Cricetulus griseus: one gene and its partner. The protein of the gene in region 2 purifies or fractionates together with the protein of the main gene of each other region. This does not show direct contact. Links are inferred from orthologs where the notes say so. Each region holds a gene or a part of one and is shown on either strand. Other genes may lie near its edges.

Evidence for each region. Proteins that work in one complex are often made in the same cells at the same time.
Region 1: the proteins of E2f4 (region 2) and Cdk2 purify together in Homo sapiens (affinity purification with mass spectrometry; 4 studies listed by BioGRID and IntAct, with this or other methods). This does not show direct contact. The link is inferred for Cricetulus griseus from reciprocal best matches to the Homo sapiens genes E2F4 and CDK2.

What each region holds. Positions count from the first base shown.
Region 1 is NW_023276806.1:129,198,536-129,204,296, reverse strand, and holds the start of Cdk2 (cyclin-dependent kinase 2), read right to left. Parts: upstream 3,625-5,761; coding exon 3,509-3,624; intron 2,806-3,508; coding exon 2,728-2,805; intron 2,629-2,727; coding exon 2,508-2,628; intron 1,345-2,507; coding exon 1,174-1,344; intron 261-1,173; coding exon 159-260; intron 1-158. UniProt on the Homo sapiens protein: Serine/threonine-protein kinase involved in the control of the cell cycle; essential for meiosis, but dispensable for mitosis. Phosphorylates CABLES1, CTNNB1, CDK2AP2, ERCC6, NBN, USP37, p53/TP53, NPM1, CDK7, RB1, BRCA2, MYC, NPAT, EZH2.
Region 2 is NC_048596.1:181,584,417-181,590,099, forward strand, and holds the start of E2f4 (transcription factor E2F4), read left to right. Parts: upstream 1-1,875; 5' UTR 1,876-1,912; coding exon 1,913-2,047; intron 2,048-2,443; coding exon 2,444-2,553; intron 2,554-2,643; coding exon 2,644-2,826; intron 2,827-3,118; coding exon 3,119-3,162; intron 3,163-3,980; coding exon 3,981-4,042; intron 4,043-4,268; coding exon 4,269-4,566; intron 4,567-5,177; coding exon 5,178-5,402; intron 5,403-5,683. UniProt on the Homo sapiens protein: Transcription activator that binds DNA cooperatively with DP proteins through the E2 recognition site, 5'-TTTC[CG]CGC-3' found in the promoter region of a number of genes whose products are involved in cell cycle regulation or in DNA replication.

The DNA.
Region 1 (5,761 bases), on a different chromosome or scaffold from region 2:
GAATATTCTAAAACTGAGTTGGTATCAGGGCCACTACCTCTACAGAGGGTGATACTTGAGAGAACTCTGTGATAAAGGACCACTTCAGGCCAAGAAATGGGTTTTGCGCTTGGATGCAGGCAAGAGTGGGCTGGATAGAACCTGGCAAGCCTCCATACCATTTCAGCAAAGATGCAGCCCAGGCTCCAGATATCCACGGCTGTGGAGTAGTACTTGCAGCCTAGAAGGATTTCAGGTGCTCGGTACCACAGGGTCACCACCTGGGAAGCAAGAGGACAAGGTCACATACCTCAATTCAACAAAACCCTGCTGCCCTCCACCCTCTCTTTTTAAGATGGATCTTATTATGGTTTTTTACTTTAATAATGTGTATACATGCATTGTGTATACCACAACTGTGCAGTGTCCTCAGGGCCAGAAGAAAGTGTCTGATCCCTTGGAGCTGGAGTTAAGGGTGATGGTGAACTGCCTGACACAGTTTACCTGAAAGAGCATCATATGCTCCTCACTGTTGAGCCTTCTCTCCATCCCCAGTTGAGTATCCCAAAACCCCCAGATTTGGGACGTTCCTGGAAAATCTGAGTCATTTAAATGGTATGCCAATCAACCTTCCTGGCTTGTATCAAAGGCCAGGTAATCTCATAGTATGAATTCAGTGCATATCCTAAGACCCTTTGGTTAAGGGCTAGACAGAGGATCAGAAGTTAAGAGTGCTTGTTGCTTTTGCAGAGGATCCAGGTTCAATTCCCAGCATCTATATGAAAGCTCACAACAGTCTGTAACTACATTTCCAGGGGATCAGACACCTTCTTCTGACCTCTGTGAGCACCAGGCAGGCATGCAATACAGACATACATGCACTTTACTCAGACACTTTAAATAAATAGGTAAAGACCCTTGGGTTGAGCCGGGTGTTTGTGGCCACGCCTTTAATCCCAGCACTTGGGAGGCAGAGGCAGGCGGATCTCTGTGAGTTCGAGGCCAGCCTGGTCTCCAGAGCAAGTGTCAGGATAGGCTCCAAAGCTACACAGAGAAACCCTGTCTCAAAAAACCAAAAAAAAAAAAAAAAAAAGACCCTTGGGTTGTCAGAGATTCTATTTACCAAGGAACTCCTGCCCTGGTATGAACATCTCCCTAAGATTCTTAAAGAAGAAAAATCATAGGGGGACCTACCTCATGAGTATAAGTACGAACAGGGACTCCAAAGGCTCTTGCTAGTCCAAAGTCTGCCAACTTGATGGACCCCTCTGCATTGATAAGCAGATTCTGGGGCTTAAGGTCTCGGTGCAGGACCCGGTGAGAATGGCAGAATGCTAGGCCCTGGAGCAGCTGGAACAAATAGCTCTGACAAAGGAGAGAGGAAGGTTTGTTCAGTCACCACCGTTAACAGATACAACTTGCTCTTTGCCCTCAAAATGCAGTAAAGCCTTAATCATGTGAGATGATAACTCCATTACGTATTTTTGGGGGATTTTGTTTAATTCTTTAGATTGCATATTTATTTATTTATTTATTTATTTACTTATTACTTATTTATGGGGGGGCATGGCACTGTGCAAACGAGGAAATCAGGACAACTTGCAGGAATTGGTTTTCTTGTACTATGTGGGACCTGGGGATGGAGTTCAGGTCATCAGGTCATCAGATTTGGAGGCAGGTGCCTTTACCTGCTGGGCTATCTTGTCAGCCCTGTTTGTTTTTTATGATAGTGCCTTCCTGGCCTGGAACTGTAGGATAGGCTTACAAGTGTAGCCTAGGCTGTCTTTTTTTTTTTTTTTTTTTTTTTTTTGGTTTTTCAAGACAGGGTTTCTCTGTGGCTTTGGAGGCTGTCTTGGAACTAGCTCTTTTAGACCAGGCTGGTCTCAAACTCACAGAGATCCACCTGCCTCTGCCTCCTGAGTGCTGGGATTAAAGGCGCCGCCAACGCCCGGCCAGGGTGTCCTTGTACTTACAGACATCCTCCTGCCTCAGCCTCCTGAGTGTTAGGATTACAATCATGAGCCAACACACCTTACAACACAACCACACATTTAATAGCTACTTCTTTCATTGTATTTTTCAGCCTGTCAAGGATAAAGACCAGATATTACTTAATTTTTGCATCCCTTTCAATACCCTGTGCCTAGCACATGCCTGTGTTAAATAACTGTGTCAAATATGTAACTGCTGATATTCATTAACTCCAGGAGTGAATACAGTTCTGGTTGTCTCCCACATCACAGGTGGAACTTTTTTTTTTTTTTGAGGAACCCACCAACTACCCTCAATCCCATTTTCTGAGTGGTATCTGATCTGCCTGAGCTGTCTAGGTGGCTCGCAGGACCTTGGTTATGATTCTTCGGTCCTTCCTATGGCTAATGACTATAATGAACAGGAAGAGACCAACAGACACAAATAAAAGGGGTCGGGGAGTGTTGAAGCCTGAGAAACAAGCCAAAATATAACCAGTCTGAATTACCTGCCTCTAATTTCCCCAAGATACCTGAGCTGGAATTGAGGAAGGTTACCTTGATGAGGGGAAGAGGAATGCCAGTGACAGCAGAGGCATCCATAAATTTCTTGAGGTCCTGGTGCAGAAATTCAAAAACCAAGTAAAGCTTATTTTCCGTGTGGATGACATCTAGCAGCCTGCAAGAGAAGGTTCAGGAAATGCAGTTGAGGGAGAGAAATTCTAAGGCTAAAACAAACAGAATTCACCTTGGTGGTCATCTCTCAGACTACACTTACTTGACAATATTAGGGTGATTAAGTTCCTTAAGCAGAGAGATCTCTCGGATGGCAGTACTGGGCACACCTTCAGTTTCACTTGGAGAGGTTGGAAAAACACAGATGAGAATATGGTTACAAACATACTCTCTTAGGGAGACACCACCCCCCAAAACTCCCTTAGGAAGTCAGAAAGGAAAGGTACTGTCAGTAGTTATTCCTGGGTAATTGGGGTGTGGCTTTTAGACATATTCAAGGTCATTATTTCCTCTTTTTCCAGTGGAAGGTAAGTAGAGCCTCCAGGTGAATGAGAAGCAGAGGAAAGGTAATAGGGGAGGGGGGTGAGAGTAGCTCCCAGCCTCCCCAGAGGGCCAGTGAGTCTCAACTGCCATTCTTTTGAAAGAGGGTGAGGGTTCTAAGTATGGGGCTGGAGCAGGGGGGACAGCTCTCCATTCAGAAAGGAATTATTCTCCTGGTTCGTACATAACCCAACTCTATGAACACTCCTGGACCCTACCTCACCCCCCCCATCCCCCCCACTTTCTCTTCCCAAGTCTCCCGGCTTGCAGATTTGGGAGCTCACCGGGTGGAGCACGAGAAGAAAGTTTTCTCTGAATTCTAGCCCTCGGACAGTCACCGAGAGAGAGCGTCTACCGTCCGCCAACCCACCCCTCACTTCAGGAGTCCCTCCCGCTACCTTCCGGTCCGGTCCGGGACGGCTACCCGCCTGTTGGGGTAGGGGGTTGGGGGGGGGCAGCCAAGAGGTCCCGGGGAAGGAGTTCCGGCTCCGGAGGCCACTCACGTGTCGAGCCGGATTTTCTTAAGCGCCACCACTTCTCCCGTCAACTTGTTTTTGGCTTTGTACACCACTCCGTACGTGCCCTCTCCGATCTTCTCCACCTTTTGGAAGTTCTCCATGGAGCACTAGTGCGGCGGCTCAGGCCCCCGGGAGCGGGGCCCGGGAACCCTGAAGAAAGCGGGCCCAACACTCGGGGCGGAGGACCTGGGGGCCAAGGTGAGCACCGCAGCCCCAGCTCTGGATGGAACGCAAGCAAAGCTCAGCCCTTGACAATTTATCCAACTTGAAACAATGTTGCCGCCTCCCCCACCGCTCCAGACGGCCAGCCGAGGCCCCGCCCCTCCTTCCCGCGTTTCCCTGGCTCCGCCTCCCACCCTTGGGATTGGTCAACGTCACGAGGGCGGGCCGGGCTCCGCGCTCCCGCCGCCGAGTCCCCGCCCTGGGCGGGTGAGCCGAGTGGCCGCAGCGCAACTTTCCCGCAGTTCCTGGTTTGGGCTCCGGCGGCCGGAACTGGTGTTGTCTGTGGTCTAAGGGTTTCCTTACTTTCCGCTCACAATTTTCACCATCCCTTAAGTGAAATTAAATTCTAGCTGGCCAGGAGAGCCTCCTTTGGAAAGCAGAAACCTGGGAAATCATATATATATACATATCATATATATATATATATAATATATATATATATATATATATATATATATATCAGTTATGTGTGTGTCTGTGTGTGTTTTTTTCACAGAAGCAGCAGATCGTCTGGAGCTGAAGTTATAGGCAGTTGTGAGCTGACGCTGAAGCCCAGCTCTGATCTTCTGCAAGAGCTACATAGGCTCTTAACTCCTGAGCGGTCTCTCCAGCACTCCCACCCCCTTTTTGAGACAGTATCTCATATTGCAGCCTGGCCGGCTGCAATGCGTTAAAAATAAAATAAAAATTGAGGTTGACTTCGAACTCGCAGAGATCGTCTGGCACTTCCTCCGTGTACTATCGTAAGAGGCACAAGATCAGGGCTCTTACTGTAAAGGATTCTTAGGCTAGATAACAAAGTCCTTTCTCAGCCTAGCTTAATCCTGTCTCACTGTTTTAGTGGTTCATTGGTTGGTTTTGTTGCTTCATTGCTGGGAATGTACACTCTGCCTCTTCGGACAGCTTTTAGATAAAGGTGTTTGTATCTGTCTTGAGGGTTGCTTGCTTTGACTCAATTCATGGCTTCCCTCTCTTGCTGAAATGGCTGTGAAGTACAGTACGTGAGTTGTGGCTGCCCATCAGTCAACTCTTTTCAGAATGAAAGTGTGTGTCAGGGTGAATGTGACCCCAGTGAAGCCGGAAGCTGTCATTGAGCGGTGGGCTGAGAAAAGGAACGTCCAGACCCTGAAATCAGTTCTGGTCCTTCTTCCCAGGTTTCCCCTTCTCTAGAGCATGGGAGGAAGGGCTATGCAAATGAGCATCCCTTCCTATATAGGGGCTCATTCCCACCCCTGGCACCTTCGGCTGCTGAAAGGAAGAGCAGGATGGATGTGCCAAGGAGGTGCCCTCTCCCTCTGTTTGTACTGAGTGCTTTGCTGGCTGTGGGGGCCGTAGAAGGTGAGTGCGCCTGTGTCATCAGGAGCAAGTGTCATTAGCAGTTGAACACCTGCTCGGGGATTCCCCCTTCTAACCAGACTTGTAGGAATATCTCAAGTCCTATTTGATTTGATTTCGTGAGGATAAAGTTTTGTTTGCCTTCATTTGTTCAAGATGAGGGTGGCCTTGAACTCCTAATCCTCGTGCTTCTATCTCCTAAGCACTGGGATTCCTGACATAAACCGTCGTGCCCAGATTTATGTGTGAAATTTAGGATTGAGAAGTATTCCTATCTGACTCAAGGGGCAGAAGGCACAACAGTAATTCTGAGACCTCCTCAGACAGAGAGCTGAAACAGGGCTCCCAAGGAGGTAAAATAAATGGGTAAAATGGATTAGGTGATATCTGAAGTACTTATGATAGGAGAATTAAAGTGGAGAGAGAGAATATGCTATTCAGGAAGACCAAGCTGATACCACCTTCTGTACTTGGGGTGGATATGGGTGTATATAGCCCAGGCCTTACATTCTGGGTCTGGGAGAGAGAAGCAGAAGGGTCTCAGCTGAGCATCACATGAAAGGACTCTGGGGGATTGAGGCCTCGTGACAGGAGCAAGGGGAGGGAGTGAAGGGTGGCGAGAGGGTCTGGAATGTCCCGTGCTGCAGGGGAGGGAGGGTGGGCAGTTAAAAAAGAATGGTG
Region 2 (5,683 bases):
GAGAATGGCCTTCTTGCTCCTGCAGAGCTGGGCACACCCTCACTGTTCACAGGACCTGAGTGACTCCAGCTCCTCTGGCACCAGCAGCCAAATTCCTCTCCCCAAGGAAGCCTTTCTTCCTAGCCCAGAAGCCCCTTCTTCTCTCCAAGGCCCCTCCTTTTCCAAGGCAGAAAGGAAGGAAGTCGAGTCTCTGGCACTTTATTCCCAACAGGAAAAGCATCTGCAATGAGGTGGGGAGAGCTGGGAGCCACTTCCTGTGGGGTGGGGGCAGGCATGAACTCCCCGAGATCAAGTCTTGACCAGCCCACCTGGGACTTCTATGTGCTCAAGAAACACATATGCACATATCAAGCTGATTTGGCCTCAAACTGGTTTGAAAAATGACCCTCCCACGTGTTGATGTGGCTGCAAACAACATGACAGTATGAGAACCACTGATGGGCCCCCGAAGAAAAGGGTATGAACTTCTGTGGAGGAATGAGCACCTGTTGTGAGGAGAGAGTGTAGTGGGAGGAGGGGCAGTCAGGGATCGTAAAAGTTATATTGTTCCTGAAACTGACAGGGAGTGATGAACAACATTTGATGAGAATAGTACAGTAGCCACTTGGTGCACCACACAAATCCATCCACAGAATAGAGACTCATTTCCTAGCTGCCAGAAGTACAGGTTGTTGAGGGGTTGCGGCTAAAGTTCTAAGTCGGTTTTGATGTACAAAGGCCCAAGTAAGTACCCTTGCTGAGCACAAACACCTCAGAAAGACTATCCCAATTTCAGAGCTAGCACCATGGGCTCTCTTATAACTAGGTCTTGCCAATTCTGCTTGTTTTACTCTCTTACAAGTATGAATCCTCAATAGACTTGCTGAAGGGAGTTTGTTTTCTAGAGGAACTGACCAAAAGAAACAAGTAACAATAAGTGATAACAATGTTAAAAGTAAAAAGACTTGCAGCTGGTGAGATGGCTCAGAAGTTAAGGGCAGAGCTCTGCTCTTGCAGAGGACCAAGGTTCAATTCCCAGCACCTACATGGCAGCTCATAATTGCCTGTTAACTCCAGCTCCTGGAGATCTGACACCCTCTTCCAAAACACCCTGAGCACCTGCACACATGTGCACAAAAGCACACACAGACAGACACACACATATACAGATAATAAAAATAAATAAAACCTTTAAAAAGTAAGTGACACTTGCAAACACACAGGTCTTCCTATGTCAGGAGCTGTCTTAAAGGTGTTGCTTCTATTCACACATAGACAAATACCTTTGCATGGATTGAGAAGTGGTTGTAAAAAAGTCTCCTGGCTTCTGTGAACTGTATGTAGTAGCATGGAGACCAGAGGAAAATGATGCTGGAACTAAAAGAGGAGTAGAGACGGAAGAAGTGGGCAAGCTAGATATAGTTGTGCTTGATGGTTTTGGCAAGAAGTAAAGAAGGCATGGGTGATCTCAAAACACTAAGGAAGCCTTTAGGAGCAGTTTTAATTTAATAGGCTAAGCTTATCAGGCTGGATGGCTTCCATTGCCTAGATGGGGGATTCGGGCAGTTAGTAGTTTGGAGGCAAGTTAACAAGGAAGATTCGGGTGGTTCTTTCCCTCTTCTCTACCTCCAGGACTGCTCACTGACAACCCTACCCCTCTTCCTTCTATACAACTTGTCAGGTCTACTAGCTAGCTGTCCTAGGAATTGCTTTAGTCTTCTTTGCTAAAGGTACATTTGCTGATGGTCCCCAAAATTTTACGTCCAGATCTTCAAACAGGAATTGCACCAGATACCCTGGGAGGGCATGAGACGGAAGCGGAAGTAGAGGTGATAGCGCCGGTGGCCCGGCGACTAAGACAGGAAGCGGAAGTGGCGCCGCGGCCGGCCTGGCCTGGCCTGGCTAAGGGGAGGCGGGCGGGCGGGCGGGCGCGATGGCGGAGGCCGGGCCACAGGCGCCGCCGCCCCCGGGCACTCCAAGCAGGCACGAGAAAAGCCTGGGACTTCTCACCACCAAGTTCGTGTCGCTTCTGCAGGAAGCCAAGGACGGTGTGCTTGACCTCAAGCTGGTGCGGCCCGGGCTGAGGGGCGACAGGGGAGATGGTGGACGAGGCCTGAACCAGTAGCGGGAACCACTGGGGCTATCCCAGTGGAACTATCCTCCAACAGCCGGCCCCCATCTGTGTGCTTTCTCACACGAGAGAGGCGGGAGGCTGTTTCCATTCACTCAAGCCACAGAGCGTGAGCTCTGTGTCTGAGTCGGGGCTGCAGGTGCTGGCCCTCGTGGCTAGCACAGGGAAACGAGCATTAGAATATCAGAACACAAGACTCTTCCCAACACACTGCTGGAGTGACTGCAAGGAACCCCTGGGATGGGACACAAGACTACCCCCATTCCAGACTGACGGTATCAGGGTGCACACTTAAGAGTGGGGTAGCATTCTCCATTCTCTTCTACTTGCCAGGCAGCCGACACTCTAGCTGTGCGTCAGAAACGGCGGATTTACGACATCACCAACGTGTTGGAAGGTATTGGTCTGATCGAGAAAAAGTCCAAGAACAGCATCCAGTGGAAGTGAGTAGGGGTGTCAGGGAGGGCAGGAGTGTCGGGTGTGTAGGAGAGAGCAGAGGTATGGGACCCACAGTTCTCAGCAGTCCCTCTCAGTTTCTCATTCCTCTGGCTCAGGGGTGTGGGGCCGGGTTGCAATACCCGGGAGATTGCCGACAAGCTGATTGAGCTCAAGGCAGAGATCGAGGAGCTGCAGCAGCGGGAGCAAGAACTTGACCAGCACAAGGTGTGGGTGCAGCAGAGCATCCGGAATGTCACAGAGGACGTCCAGAACAGCTGATATCCTCTGGCAGCCCCTGTCCTGGGGAGTGGACAAAGGGTCCTCAGCTGGTTTTGCTCTGTGGCGCTCAGGGCCCTGTCCCTTTTGGGAGGATGATCCCCTGGTCAGATTCAGAGTTGAGGCTCCCTTCTCTTCCAATCTTAGCCCATGATCCTTACCCACTTGGACCCCAGGTTCCAGAAATTCCTCTGAGGGCTTGTGTGTCAGACATCTGCTAAAACATGGGGTCTTCTGTGGTCTGCCATCTGGCACAGTAAGAAAGGCATCAGCTGTTCTCCTTAACCCCCACACCTTGGCCTATGTGACTCATGAAGACATCTGCAGGTGCTTTGCCGGTAAGCAGAGCCTGGGTAGGGGGGCAGGAGTGGGAGCTGAACTAAACCACAGAGCCCTAAGTGTCCATCAGGTTCAAGGAGAGTTTCCATCTCTGCTTAGCGAGAACCAGGCAGAGTCTCAGTTTGAAAGTCACTGGAACTCTGTAGAGACCAACAATACTGAGGGTACAAGGGTCCCACTGTGTCCCTAGGTTTCTGGGTTTGGTTCTTAGACATGATATAGGCACAGAGGAAAAAGGAGAATGTGTGTTTGTGCACAATCTTACATACTTGTATTCGGGGTCAGTGGTGTCCATTTCTGATCTGTGTATATAGGAGCTGTTACTTCTTATATTTCATCTTGTATCTTGGTCTTGGGAAAACTTGGTTAGGTCTGTTTCTAGGGATCAACCCCATTTGAGGAGTGAGGTGCCCATGGCCAGTGACATCACTCCAGAATGTGACTATACTTTAATCCCTGCACTTGGGAGGCAGAGAAGGGCAGATCTCTGAGTTTGAGGCCAGCCTGGTCTACACTGCAAGTTCCAGAACAGCCAGAGCTATTACATGAAGAAACTCTGTCTTGAACAAACAAACAAAAAAGACCCTGTCTCAAAGGAAGAAAAAGAAAGTGTGCTTGCACTGGATTTTCTGGTTACTGAGCATAAGTTTTTTTGGGGTGGAGAGTTTTAGCTCTGCCTACTGCTTTGGGATGGTAGAGGCTTAATATTCAGTTTTTTAGAGACTGTGGTCTTTTGTCTTGCCCCAGTGAACAGACACTTCCTTTCCTAGCTCAGATTGAGCTCTTGGGCCCTGATGCATTCTCCTTGTCATTCTAGGAGACACCCTGCTTGCCATCAGGGCCCCATCGGGCACCAGCCTAGAGGTGCCCATCCCAGAGGTAGGTGCTCAACCCTGGAAGGCGGTGCCAGCTAAGGGTGGATACTGGCTGTGGAGCTTGATAAGTTCTGGGTGGGGCAGGTAGGGGGAGGCCTGGAGTTTGGGGTTATCTAGTGGACTGGCAGATGAGGAATGGGATGACAGTCTGGCTCTCACCCAGAGTCAGGCAGGAGCCATGCCTGCTTGCAATTCTACTTGTCCCCCATCTTCTGCCCCCCCACCTCCAGGGTCTCAATGGTCAAAAGAAGTACCAGATTCACTTAAAGAGCATGAGTGGCCCCATCGAGGTGCTGCTAGTGAACAAGGAGGCATGGAGTTCACCACCTGTGGCTGTGCCTGTCCCTCCCCCTGAGGATCTGCTCCAGAGCCCACCTGCTGTTTCTACCCCTCCACCTCTGCCCAAGCCTGCCTTATCTCAACCCCAAGAAACCTCTCGTCCATGCAGTCCCCAGCTAACTACCCCTGCTCCTGTCCTTGGCAGCACTGAAGTCTCAGAGGCAGCAGGCCAGACAGCTGAGATTGCAGGTGAGACGCTATGGTAAGATGTGATGGGTTATAAGAAGGTGTCTGTTATAGAGTATTACACTAAGAATTGGAAAAGGCTGCTGGGTCCCCACCTAGCTTTCCTTGGTGTCACAGTGAATGTACCCTTTTAAATTACTTTTTTCTTTTATTTGTTTGTAAGGGGGAGGAATGCTACAACATACATGTGGAGGTCAGAAGAGGTCAGATGACAAATTTATGAGATTGGTTCTCTCCTTTAGTATGGGTTCTGGGGATCAAACTCAGGTTATCAGGTTCAGCCACAAGTGTCTTTACTCACTGAGCCCTCTCACTTGCCCTGAATATGCCCTTTCTAACAAGGAAGCTTTAACTATGAAAAGAGAATCACTACGGAAGTTTATCCCAAATTGGACAGTATGTAATGGATCCTGGCAACCAGGATCCCTCCTCCAGGACTTGTGCTCTATCTTCAGTGATCTTTTCTAGATTGCTCCTTGGTAACTAGTGGTGGCTGATTCTCCTTGAGTTTGGGTACCAGCATTATGGTCATCCTGGCCATAGAATCTAGCCTAGCCAAGTTCTAGGATCCATTTCCTGACTCCATGTGATGGGCTTTGGGGATGTGATTGCAGTGAGTGGTGGCCCTGGAACTGAAAACAAGGATGGTGGTGAGCTCAGCTCACTCCCACTGGGCCTGACAGCACTGGACACTCGGCCTCTGCAGTCTTCTGCCCTCCTGGACAGCAGCAGCAGCAGCAGTAGCAGCAGTAGCAGCAGCAGCAGCAGCAGCAGCAGCAGTTCATCTGGACCCAATCCTTCTACCTCCTTCGAGCCCATCAAGGCAGACCCCACAGGTGGTGAGTACTTACTGAGCTACAGGGGCCAGCATGGAGTCAGCCCAGTGCTTTATCAAACACATAGTTAGAAAGTGCCTTTCCTACTAAGCCCTGTTCTCTGTCAGCCAGACAAGGGTGTCTAGTCTCTGGGTCAGTGCTGGTGCCTTTTGCCCCCTTCCTAAAACTTCAATCCCATCTGCCACCATTTGAAACATCACTGAGCCTCACTAATTGAGATTTGCTACTCTCTGTACTCACCTTACCATACTTGTATCCTTGCCATGTCTAGGTGCATGCAGCTC